Arabidopsis thaliana: one gene and its partners. The protein of the gene in region 2 interacts with the protein of the main gene of each other region in a pairwise test. Each region holds a gene or a part of one and is shown on either strand. Other genes may lie near its edges.

Evidence for each region. The genes of interacting proteins can lie anywhere in the genome.
Region 1: the proteins of AT4G24310 (region 2) and AT1G15150 interact in a protein complementation assay, tested with the Arabidopsis thaliana proteins (one large-scale study listed by BioGRID).
Region 3: the proteins of AT4G24310 (region 2) and ABCG19 interact in a protein complementation assay, tested with the Arabidopsis thaliana proteins (one large-scale study listed by BioGRID).

The regions. Positions count from the first base shown.
Region 1 is NC_003070.9:5,210,889-5,215,590, forward strand, and holds AT1G15150 (MATE efflux family protein), read left to right. Parts: upstream 1-1,586; 5' UTR 1,587-1,785; coding exon 1,786-2,043; exon of another isoform or gene 2,044-2,158; coding exon 2,159-2,703; intron 2,704-2,786; coding exon 2,787-2,873; intron 2,874-2,952; coding exon 2,953-3,009; intron 3,010-3,100; coding exon 3,101-3,339; intron 3,340-3,468; coding exon 3,469-3,674; intron 3,675-3,763; coding exon 3,764-3,835; 3' UTR 3,836-4,154; downstream 4,155-4,702. Other genes in the region: AT1G15140 (FAD/NAD(P)-binding oxidoreductase), read right to left, coding at 84-183, 702-1,249; AT1G15160 (MATE efflux family protein), read left to right, coding at 4,587-4,702.
Region 2 is NC_003075.7:12,599,270-12,602,275, reverse strand, and holds AT4G24310 (transmembrane protein, putative (DUF679)), read right to left. Parts: upstream 1,474-3,006; 5' UTR 1,377-1,473; coding exon 735-1,376; 3' UTR 550-734; downstream 1-549. Other genes in the region: AT4G24300 (Peptidase C50, separase), read left to right, coding at 2,063-2,169, 2,250-2,430, 2,518-2,625. UniProt on the Arabidopsis thaliana protein: Involved in membrane remodeling.
Region 3 is NC_003074.8:20,433,291-20,438,338, forward strand, and holds ABCG19 (white-brown complex homolog 19), read right to left. Parts: upstream 3,164-5,048; 5' UTR 2,999-3,163; coding exon 821-2,998; 3' UTR 549-820; downstream 1-548. UniProt on the Arabidopsis thaliana protein: Confers selective resistance to kanamycin.

The DNA.
Region 1 (4,702 bases), on a different chromosome or scaffold from region 2:
CAAAAGATTTTTATAATTCAAGCACACACATTTATATCTACTGACATCATGAATTGCAAAACAACTGAGAGAAAGAACCAAACCTGGTAAGCCATCCTATTCAGGTTCCTAGCCCCGTAATAGAGTCTTACGTCAGATCTTCTATCAGCGCCAAATCCTGATTCGATTAGTGAGCGGATGGGGCTGCAGAGATAAGAACATGTGAGATTACATTCCAAATTGAAGACAGTTACTTAATTCACATCACCATCACTAAACATTTTTGATTGACCAGGCCTAGAACAATAGATGATTGAAAGAAACACCTTTACTTGGCATAAACAACAGATCTGATCGATCACCAAAGTCATAAAAACATTGACCTTTCATACATGAAACTCTATTTCAGTATTACAACATCATCACAGTAAAAAAATAGCCACAAAATTGGTCCATGGCACCTTTGGATAGATTGAAATCATACTGGAGTTCACAAAAAAGGTCCACAAAAAAGCAATTGAACCCGGCATCACAGAGGATTCACCGCAAAATGAGTAACTAAACTAGATTCAAGATACTTGAGTTTGAAAGCTTTGTATCTAGCTAATGCTCTGCACTGAAACCTTTAAACTAGACCACACTTGGATCATTGAATACATGAAGTAAAAAAGACAACTTCAGCAATCCAACAAGGTAGGAGAGAAAATGGAAAAAGCTCTCACCTAATTCCAGATCCAGTGGCGAAAATCAAAACGGTGGGATATTCCTCAGGAGGATCAATCAGATCGATATTGAAACCATTACCCATCACAGAGCTAAGCTCAACGGTCTCTCCTTTCTTCAACCCGCAGAGAATCTCCGCGGTAGAACCAGCGATGCTCTTGACCAAGAATTCGAAAGCACCACGAGAAGACGCCAAGGAAGGAGGAGAAGCGATTGCCATAAAAGAAGGCTTCTCAACATCAGGAACACGGATCTGGAGATACTGACCGGGTCTCGTGTACGAAGCTACGAGATCCGGAGCGTTTGAAATGTCGATTGAGATGTGGAAAAGCGATTCTGCAGCTGATTCGATTAGAGAGAGAGGAGCTGGAGTCCAGAGGGAAGCGTCCTGGCGAACGGCGGCGGCGGATACAACGGAAGCGACGCGGTTATTTCGGGATAAACGGAGATGGCGTGTAAGAGGGAGATGGCGCAGGATAAACATGGGGGAGAGGGAGTGGCTAAAGTGCGCATGGGTGACAGAAGGCGCGAAAGGAAGAGTGGACATGGTGGAGAGTTTTTGGGGCTCTATATGTGACCGTCAAATTTAGCCGGCGGTAGAAAAGGGCGGCCCGATTGGTTCGGTGGCACGATTGTGTTATTTTTTTTTGCTATGCACCTAATTTCCTTCCGTTACAATGTTTTGCCACGTGGATGATCAAAATATCATTCTATCTACTTTCCGACCACTTGTTGTGATACTTCGAAAATTGCATTCCCTCTTCATTTAATTTTGCTAGCTCGTCTTTCAAAGAAAAAACACCAAATCATGTAATTAAAAGACAGAATTGTGGAAGAAAAGTGACAAGCAATATGCATATTAAAAAACGTAAGAGTACATTATCAATGAACACTCCCTACCGTTGAGCCAAATTTAACGTATATATTTCATTCATGGTTTTGGAATTTTGCCAAGTGGCACTACACTATAGATTCCCTTGGTAAGGAATTACACATAACCAAGCACCAAAAAGCAGACAGTAGTACTTCACGATTATCACTCACCACTTTCCGTTTCAACTTTCAAACTCTCTCTCACAAGCCATGCAAGACGCGGAGAGAACCACCAATGATCCGGTAGACAGAATTGAGAAAGTGACATGGAGAGATCTGCAAGACGGATCTTTCACCGCAGAACTCAAGAGGCTTATCTGCTTTGCGGCTCCTATGGCTGCCGTGGTTATCATTCAGTTCATGATACAGATAATCTCAATGGTGATGGTGGGTCACCTCGGTAGACTCTCCCTCGCTAGCGCTTCCTTCGCAGTCTCCTTCTGTAACGTCACTGGCTTCAGCTTCATTGTTTGTTTTCCTTTTCCTTCTTTCCTCTAAATTGACGCACTTATCTCTGTTACTAGCTACCAGAACCATGGAAATTGCATCCTCTCCTCACTTTCTTGTTACTTTTTGATGATAGATAGGATTGTCATGTGCCTTAGATACTTTGAGTGGTCAAGCTTATGGAGCTAAGCTATATCGGAAACTAGGTGTTCAGGCTTACACAGCTATGTTCTGTCTTACTTTAGTGTGTCTCCCTCTCTCTCTCCTATGGTTCAACATGGGAAAGCTTATTGTGATCCTTGGCCAAGACCCTGCTATTGCTCACGAAGCTGGTAGATATGCCGCTTGGCTCATCCCAGGACTGTTCGCTTACGCCGTTCTTCAGCCGCTCATTCGCTACTTCAAAAACCAGAGCTTGATCACACCTCTCCTCGTCACCTCTTCTGTTGTGTTTTGTATCCACGTTCCTCTCTGCTGGCTTTTGGTTTATAAGTCAGGGCTTGGTCATATTGGAGGAGCCTTGGCTCTCAGCTTGTCATACTGGCTCTATGCCATTTTCCTTGGATCTTTCATGTACTACTCCTCTGCCTGTTCTGAGACACGCGCGCCGCTTACCATGGAGATATTCGAGGGCGTTAGAGAGTTTATCAAATATGCTCTTCCTTCTGCGGCTATGCTTTGGTACATCACTTTTCTCTGTTCCTTTTTCACTTCTCATTGCCTCCACATTTTTTGTTAGAAACTCTTTTATATATGGGTTGCAGCCTGGAGTGGTGGTCATATGAACTCATAATATTACTTTCTGGTCTGTTACCCAACCCACAGCTGGAGACTTCTGTGCTCTCTATCTGGTACTCATCCTTGCATCTTTCCATTTCCTGTCACAATCTTGAATTTGCAAAATCATAATGTTATTCATACTACGGACAGTTTCGAAACACTTTCAATAACTTATTCAATACCACTAGCGATCGCGGCTGCAGCAAGGTTAGAGCTTTTGTCACCACTATCCAGTACATAAATGCTGAAGTATACTTTCTGTTATGGTTTCATGTTCATAAGCAAGTACATTGTGCAGCACAAGAATCTCAAATGAGTTAGGAGCTGGAAACTCTCGAGCAGCACATATTGTGGTCTATGCGGCAATGTCTCTTGCAGTAATGGATGCATTGATGGTGAGTATGTCTCTATTAGCCGGCAGGCATGTTTTCGGCCATGTTTTCAGCAGTGACAAGAAAACCATCGAATATGTTGCAAAGATGGCTCCGTTGGTCTCTATTTCTATCATACTGGACAGTTTACAAGGGGTTCTCTCAGGTTCGAGATTTTTTCCCATTTCGTTTCTCAAACATAAGCTAGTGTCGAATATACAGCTCCAAGTTGTCATGCCTGTTCATGTTGTACTCTTTTCTGCCATTCTTCTAACCCTCGTTTGATGGTTGGAAGGTGTTGCAAGCGGATGCGGGTGGCAGCATATAGGGGCTTACATAAACTTCGGAGCTTTCTATCTCTGGGGGATACCCATTGCAGCATCTTTAGCCTTCTGGGTTCATCTGAAAGGTGTTGGCCTTTGGATTGGAATACTAGCCGGTGCAGTTCTGCAGACTCTTCTGCTGGCTCTTGTCACAGGCTGCACAAACTGGAAAACCCAGGTCCTTTCCTTTGCTTTTTGTCTTTCATGACATGTTTCTATTTTGGAATAAACATATCGATGTTCAATTGGATGCATTTTGAACTCTAGGCCCGTGAAGCGAGGGAGCGAATGGCTGTGGCCCATGAATCAGAACTTACAGAGTCAGAACTTCCCATCTAAGATTACAGGGACACAGATGTTCCTCCTATTTTACCATTTTTGTAGCAGCCAAATCGTTATATGTTACTGCTGGACTAGTGGTTGCCGTGAATAATTGGTCTTTTCTTTTGTAATATTAGCAGCCCTCAGCAATCGTTATTTCGATGAAGCATTATTCTGGTAGTTCAGAAATACCTTGGACAGAAAATGATGTAGTGATCCAATTCTGCTGATACCAGCTCGCTTATACCTGTAACACAGTAGTTGCGAGTCAGGAAATAGATGTGGGAGCTGCTTCTGAGTCTTGGAGCTAGAGTTTTCAATCACTGAAAATGTTTCTCGACACAGACCTTCACAAGTGTCTCCACAAGTAATAATGACAGGATCACACATATATTACTATCACTAGAAAAATATAACCACCAACAACGTTGCTTTATGTATTCAAACTTTCTTACGATGATGACAATATAGTTTGCAAAATGCATATTAAAAAAAGAAAACGCAGAGAGCCAAGAGTCAGCATCAGTAATCACGCCACAAAAATAAAACGCAGAGAGCATATTAAAATGTTGAATTAATAGGTGGAATAAAGTGACGATTATGTGTTACAAAAATGAAAAATATGGTTTTGTATAAAAACACCAATGTGGCAATGTACATAGTCTTAAAGAACAACACGTACTAAAGCACAAAAAGCAGACAGTAGTTCTTCACTCACACCACTTTCAGTTTCAAATTTCAACTCTCTCTCTTTAGTGTCTCTCTAGCCATGGAAGACGCAGAGAGCACCACCAAAGATCCTGTAGACAGAGTTGAGAAAGTAACATGGAGAGATCTGCAAGACGGATCTTTCACCGCAGAACTCAAGAAGCTTATATGCTTTGC
Region 2 (3,006 bases):
CGAATTAATGAGTTGCTATGACTAGGGCGAGTAAGGACAGCTTAATCGAGTATGGAATTGGTTGCTGATATGGTATCATTGTGCAAGATTTTGTGTTTGAGTCCTTGACCGACTCTGCCAGCAATTGGAGTAAACAGAACTCAAGATCTCGCATATTACCTAGCTAGCAACGGTGTTTAGCTAGTGGCTACAGAGTCTCTGCATTTTGCAAGTAAGTAAAACGGATGCAGAGAAAGGAATTTATAAACCTCCACAGGTTTTCTTATTTCCTTTGGGAAGACGCATGTATGTCTCAAATAAACATGGCAAGAGATGAAAGTCAGAGTAAACAACATGACAAGTGTGAGTCTTACAAGAACTGTGTTGTCCACATGCTCTTTTGAAAGGTCCCAACCTGGATGGTCCTCTCAGTTCAGCCACTTCCTGATCAAACAATTAACCAAGTTTTTTTTTTTATAGCTTTCAGTTTATTGATATCGTGTGTTAACTCAATTAGACAAGGCATCTTAAGCATTTCACACCTCTAAGTGTATTATTAGTTTATGACCAAGCAGAACGTATAATAAGATTGCTTGCGTAAATAATTGTCCACTAAACAAAGAACAAAATTAAAATCATTATTAGAATTGGAAGTAGATGAGACAAACACGAAATGATCACATGCACAAGCGAATTAGTCAACCAAACATTAAATAATCAAATTGCTTATATCTATTTGGAAATAAATAACAAATCTAACGACGACCCCCGTCTCCGGTGACCGGATATCCAATACCGTGCCTTCTCGCCGGAAAAACCAAGAACAACATGCCACAGATAACCCCAACACCCATTGGAACAATGTCCAAAACCTTCTTGGTTTCTTGCTCTGGCGCCGGATAAAAACAACTCACGGCGTTCTTGTCCCTCAGAGCCACCGCACCAAACACAAGAACCGACAAAACGGCGTGGATCCAGTCAATAATTCTTATCCGGTATTTACTAAGATTGGGTAAACCCAAACCGTCAGGGTCAGGGTAGTCGAAAACCCACATGCCCTTACGAGTAGCAAAACCGTAATAAACGTTACCGTCTTCAGCCTTGACGCTGTCAGTGAAGGAGCTAAGGAAGCAGGAGATGGAGAGAAGCGTGAGGAGCACTATGGTTAAAACCTGGGTCGGGTAATCGCATGAACCATTGGATGTAAAGACGGGTATGAGGAGCGTGAAAGCTAAGAGCGTTCCGGTTGGAAGGAGATTTGCCAGGTTTGCAGCTGAGGTTAGCGTCTGTGACATGACTGCATGTTGAGATGTCTGCCTCCTTAGCTGTGGAACAGACTCCGATTGCTCTTGCGAACTAGTTGGGTTTCTCTGCGTTAGGGAAGATGGTGAAGACATATTCTTTCGTTTTTCTTATTTGTTTCGAGAATTAATGGATGATTATGATCATAATATATACCAAGAAGAACGTGCGATTAAGTGTAGAAGATGGTTGTTGACGTGATCAATGTTTTGACTTTTGAGAAGTCAATGGGTCTCTTTTGATTCCTTCTTGAGAGTTGAGACTTTCAAAGTTGATTATATATTACTCTCGTTCTTACTCGTCTCCAACTTTAAACAAAAAACTTTAAAATCGATTTGCATGTTACGTTAACTTTAAAGAGATTCGCACTCTTTGGTGGGAACTAAAAAAGTAAACCTAATTCCACTAAAAAAGGTCTCCCGTTGGATCCATCTCGCAGCAATTCATCCCCTTCATCATCAAATCCGTGTGTTTCCTGCATAAACGCCTCACCCAAGGATCCCCTAGGGATTTGTTCCGCGCGTATGATTTCTGTTTGGAATGCTGCGAATTGGTCTCCTACGATCCTCTAGCCGTCCAGCTTCAGAGAGTCGGGCTGATTCACTGTTACCAGGCCTGGGGTTGGTTCACTCACGCCTACAACGATGGTTTTAGAGTCCTTGACCACCTTAAAGGACCCGCCTACGACGATGGTTTTAGAGTTAGAGAACCCGAGTCCAAAGGTGTACCGTTTTTACCAGATCCCGAATTTGGAGGAGCTAAACTGGCAAGAGTCCAACTCATGGTTGTGGCGTCCATCGTCAGGTCTGTAGCAATGTCGCGGGATATGAACGATCTCCAATACTTGAGGGGCATTTCTCTTCTACAAGGGCTAAAACCCTGGCTAAGGTAAATAAAACCGTGAGACTTATGCTTCCCTTGCTGTACAAGTCAACAAGTTTCACTTCTTCTTCTTCTTTTTTTTCTAGGTATTTGGATGCCAATGAACACCATAAGTTTCTCAAGCTGGTCTTGTCAGATATGGGAGAGTGTGCTCTCTCGGTAATTAGAGAAGCAGAGCGTTTCGATGAGGCTTTTGTGCATTCTTTTTGCATCTCTACACTAGAGGAATATTCTGTATCCCCGTTGCCAAAATGTCATTTTTATAAGGTGACTTTCCCAAGTTTACATGTCCTTCTGTGGCTCTGTCTCTGTCTCTCTCTCTCGTACGCCTTGACTGTCTTGTTTTGTATCCAGTTCTCCCGCCAGGTACTTTCTTTACTGTTTCCGTCCAAGGAGGCAAAAACATCACTAAATCTTAAAATTATGATGTCTGTGTTGAAATTTGTGGCAGGTGAATTCCAGGTATGTGCAAAAGTCTCGTGTCCAGATTAGTCAGTCATTAGATGTTTCTAGGGCATTATTATGTTTCTTGTGGCACTCACTGCTCTGCTATGTTGAAACTCTCATAGCTTATTCTCTCTCAGGTTGAACCTAAAGCAAATTGGTCGAAGCTTCTTGACTTAGTCCAAAGTTTTTTTAGGTGAATGTCATGCGCATCGTTCTCTTTAGATAAAACATGAGCTCCAGAAAATTAAACTTGGTATTATTATTCATGGAGTATTAACACATTTTGAATGTAGATGCTATCATCTTAACAAAAAAAACTCAATTTACTTCATCTTGAATGTTATCCCAAGAGTTTTTTTTATTGCTTTTAGGTTCACTTACTGTTATACATTCATG
Region 3 (5,048 bases), on a different chromosome or scaffold from region 2:
GTTCGAATTTAATTGTGTTCTGACATGCATGTTTTAAATTTTGAGTCATTGAATAGTGAGTAATGTCTATCACACCAGAAAATATTATATCTCAAATTTAGGTGAATACATTAATTCACTAGATTTTCACTTGTCCATTTTTTTTCTTTGAGTAAAATATACTATATATGAAGTATGAAGTATGAAGTAAGGGAGTCCGGACCATAAAACTTATATCTCCAACGTGGGATGCGCAATATTCATTTCATATCTACTAAACTTCGTGGTTGAACTTTTGTTGATATTTTATTTTGCTGACCATTGTGGAAAAGAACTATCACCAATACTTGAATATTGATATAACTATATGGTTGAAAAATTCGCAAAACATTCAACAGCAGCCCCTAGATTTTAATTTTTTGAACTGCACCCAAAGGGACAAGACAGCAAACAAAGGAGAGCAACACTACGAAACAGAACTATCACCAATAGGCAATAAGTAAGGAAAACGAAACAGAAAAACAGAGGCCAAGTCAAGACAAAGGAACGAGCAGATAGCGAAACCTTGAAGGAGGGTAATGGTCTTGCTTTACTTAAGCAATTGTTCTGCCTCGAAATTTAAATGTGTATTCAAGTAATCAGATGCTAATTTGGATATTTAAGAAGAAATACTTGTTTATTTTACAGTATATTCTTTTAAAGAAACAAAGATGAAATGAGTATAAATTTTACAACTTCTTCACAAATGTATAGTAACATCGAGAAGCTAATTCTTCAAGCTTCACTTAAATATGTAGCTAATGCGCACAAATGTATTTGTGGGCGCTAGTAAGTAGTAACCTCACGTCCTCTTATTCCTGCTCCCAAACAGCAAGGCGAAGTAAAATAAGATCCTAAAGAAGAGACCTGAAGCAAACGTAATCCACAAGCAATCCCACTTGCTCAATTGCGTAATACCCTGTTGTGCAAGTAAGTCAGACCCCGTCCTCAAGCATGTGGACTCCGTTATCTTCGTTCTCAGAGATTTACTGAGAGTTTCAAGGAGCTTAACCTTCCCGGAGTCAGACACTCCCCCGAGAAGAGTACTGTCGAAAACCTGGACACCCCTAACAAAACAACGAGACGGGTCATCAAACTCGTTGATTAAGACAGCCTCATACGGATACTTGAGAATTGAAATGTAATGAAACCACGTCCAATAAAACGGTATTCGATCTCGGTTGACGTAGAATCCACTCAACAGTAAACAGTAGGCGAGATAGGTAATGGAGACCATGTAACATAACATGATATTCGGAACAACACCGGATATAAAGGTAACGACGGAAGATCCAGACCAAAAGGAGGCATAGATTAGGAGGCAATAGAAGACAAAACCCTCTAATCCCCCGCTCAATCCAACGGTCCAGAATGTGATCGCGGAAAATACCAAGGAAGGTGCAAGTAGCTGAGGCAGGGACACAAGAGAGTGTGATATGACGTATGAAGATGTTCTGTACGCGTTGTGTGTTGTCTCTCTTAAGAAAATGTATCGTTCTTGGATAAAAACGGGGACATTGTCTAAACAACAATAGAACATTGTTGGGACGACAAATGCGAACAAAGTCAATCTCTCTTGTGCTCCTCTTGGAGTGTGGTCTAGCTTCCAATACACAGTTGCTAAAAGACAACCAGTCACCATTACCGTAGCAATCCTTGTTCCTACTAGCTCAGGCATCCGGATCCAGTTTTTCATGTACCGTTTGGCTAAGATGAATGTTTCGAACAACGACGGGTTTGCGTATGAAGATACTGTTTCCATGGAAGTGGGATTGGATCTAGATGAGCCTGAGACTAGTTTGCCTCTAGAAACACTCGCATTAATGGCTTCTTTTAAAGATAATGAACGGTCTTGGTCGAGCTTATTGGTTTGTGGAGCAGATTGGATCAGGCTGATCTTGTTTTGTTGCCACTTTTCGTTGAAGTCTACTAAAGCTTTCGTACCTTCATTGGATCCTTCAAGCTCTCGAACTAAATCAAGTGCGAACTCTGATATGTTCTCTTTCTCCGGGATCGGACGACCGAAGTCGGAGAAGAATCCGGGAAGACTCGCCGGAGATCCATTGAACACACTTTTGCCACGAGATAGAATGATAAGCCGATCAAGCAACTCCACGATTCGAGCACTAGGTTGATGGATCGACATAATTACGATACTGCCACTTTGAGCAATTCGTTTCAAAACTTGCACCACCATAAACGCGTTTGTAGAATCCAGCCCCGACGTTGGTTCGTCGAGGAACAAGACGATAGGATCGTGTATAATATCGATTCCGATTGAAACGCGCCGTCTCTCTCCTCCAGAAACTCCACGGTGTCCTTCGTCTCCGATTACCGTGTTCGCCGCGTTTCTTAACCCTAATTGATCAATTAGGGCTTCAACACGCTCCATCTTCTTCGACTTAGACAAACTTCTCGGGAGACGAAACTCGGAAGCGAACATTAGGGTTTCTTTAACGGTGAGCATCGGAAAAAGAAGATCGTCTTGCATAACATACGCCGATATAACTTTCAACAATCGAGATTGCAAAACTTTCTCTCCGTTTAGAGTTACAGAGCCTCTCAAGCTTCCCTCAGCAACTCTCCCCGCTAGTGCATCGATCAACGTTGATTTTCCTGCTCCACTTGCACCGAGAACGGCGAGGATATCGCCGTCAGAAGCCTCTCCGGAAACATCATCGAGTAGAGTCTTTACTCCGTTTTGCCGTGAGAAGCCAAACCGCCGGCGAAGTGTGACATCGTATTGAAGATTGTTAAAGTTTAAGACGTACGGGACAGGTTTTACGTACAAGGCTTCGACATCTATTATGTGATGTGCAGGATCGTCGCTTTTTACGCCGTCGCCGGAATCTCCTTTTCGGAAACTGTCGCAGTCTTTCAGCAACTCGTCGAGGGTTGGTGATCCGATGGGAGTGATATACTGAGTTTCCGCCGAAACACGTGTCATGGCAATCTTTCTACCGCTGAGTGATAGATTCATCGGACGGCGTCGTTTAGAGTTTTGGCTTAAGAAATCATCAAACTGATTGTGAAGTATATATGGTGGAATCTGAAAGTTCTTAGTAGTGATATTTTTTATGATGGGACGTATAGTTTCATACGTTGGTTATTTATAAGAAAAATGTAACATGTGTTGTAACTTCTGTAACTAAAAAAAAATATTAGATAGAAATTTAACGTTCGTGTGGGTCGTGGCTAGTAATAAGAGTGAACAATAATTCAGAAGTTTCGTTTTCGACATTAAATGTATGTAAAAAGCAAAATACTGTGAATTACGTGGTCATTAAATTCTTGATAAGTCTTAAAAGAAAATTCAAAATTGTATACAGTACTTTGATTTTGGCTTCTGCTCTGCACCACGAGTCGCATTTAAATTTGACATATGTGTCTCATCAACCAAATTTGAAGAATGTGTTCTTGTACATACAGCAGAGAACGTTTGTTCATAGTAACCATAACACATTCTTTGGTTTTAATATCATCCAAAACAGTTTTCTACTCCTAATCACCAAATCAAATATTAACACCGACACGCAAAATGATACAAAATATGTATCTCCCTTTATTAATATATGTCGAATCAATTGATGAAATAATCCAAAAAAGGAACCATGCTGAACCTAGTGAGGAATGCGTTGACAAATATGCATGTATACAGTAGATGTGGATGTCAAAACTACTAAGAGAACGACTCTCTCTTCAATGTGGCTCCACAAAACGGTTGGTAATTTGGGATGGCCGTAGTTTCCATTAATTGGTTAAACTCCAATTTCCCAATTTTGTTGGATTCATGATTAATCTATCTTCGTAGAATATTGGATAAATTGTGATATCAGAGATTCAGTATATAACTAATAATAGGTTAGAAATTAATTCACAAAAAACAACTTTTTCAAGTCAACTATAGTTTATAAACAAAACAAATAAAGAGAGTTAACTAAAATTTGTGTGAAGCATGAAGGAGCCCACGAAATTATCTCAAAGTGTGTGGCTCGTAGGATTTGACAACCACCATCATCATCGCCATCCCTTACTGATTACGGTACATGATTTCATTTAATGTTAATTTCTTAATTTTCTTTTATTTCATGAAGTTTCATTTTCGACATAAATGTATATTTAGGAAATAAAAAATCGTGATTTTCGTGATTGTTTTTTTTTTGAATCCGTGATAAAGGCAATTTGGCTTCGTCAACTCGATGGCCATTTCATTATTATCCATTATCAAAGCTAAGATAGTTACCAAATTTTGTTTAAAGCCTTGTTTCGATGTATATATAAAACATGTTCTCTCTCGTTAGTAACCAATCAGTTTCAAAGCATAACATGTAAAATTAATACTTTTCTTTTCTTTGTCGGCCACAAACACATTCCTTTGTTTTGGAATTATGGTTCGAGTATACACAATCGCTAATTCAACAGTTCTACTCCTAAGAAACAATTCAAGTTTTAACATCAATACACAAAGCCAAAGGGAAATTCCATTTTTTATATACATGTTGGATGAATGATTGACGAAAATATCGAATCGAGTCAAACGATCGACAATGAAATGATAAACATGTAGGAAAGGAACCGATTGAGATATGAAATTCGAGAGATTACTAAAAATAGGAGGAGGAAGCCGGTCCTAACATTTATGTGGCCTAAAGCATATTTTAAAAAATTATATATAAAAAAAACATTATGAAAAACAACTAAAAATCATCTATTGTTACTCGAACATGGGGGAGATTGAAGATTTACTAATGGAGTTTAGTACAATTTCAAAGGAGACGTTAATGGCTAAGTTTTGTTTGAAATTGACTATTGGATGACGACTATTGGATGATGTAACCCATACACCAAATTTGTACTAGTTACTTCAAAGCTGCTGTGACATCTACCAAATTGTGTTTAACGCGATGTTTCTATATCAAACATGTCACTCGTAAGTCCCAAGTACTCTAATAAGTAGTCTAAGTTTAAAACCTTATCGCCTATAACAAGACATGTAAATTAGTACTATCATTTATTTTTGGTCGGCATGG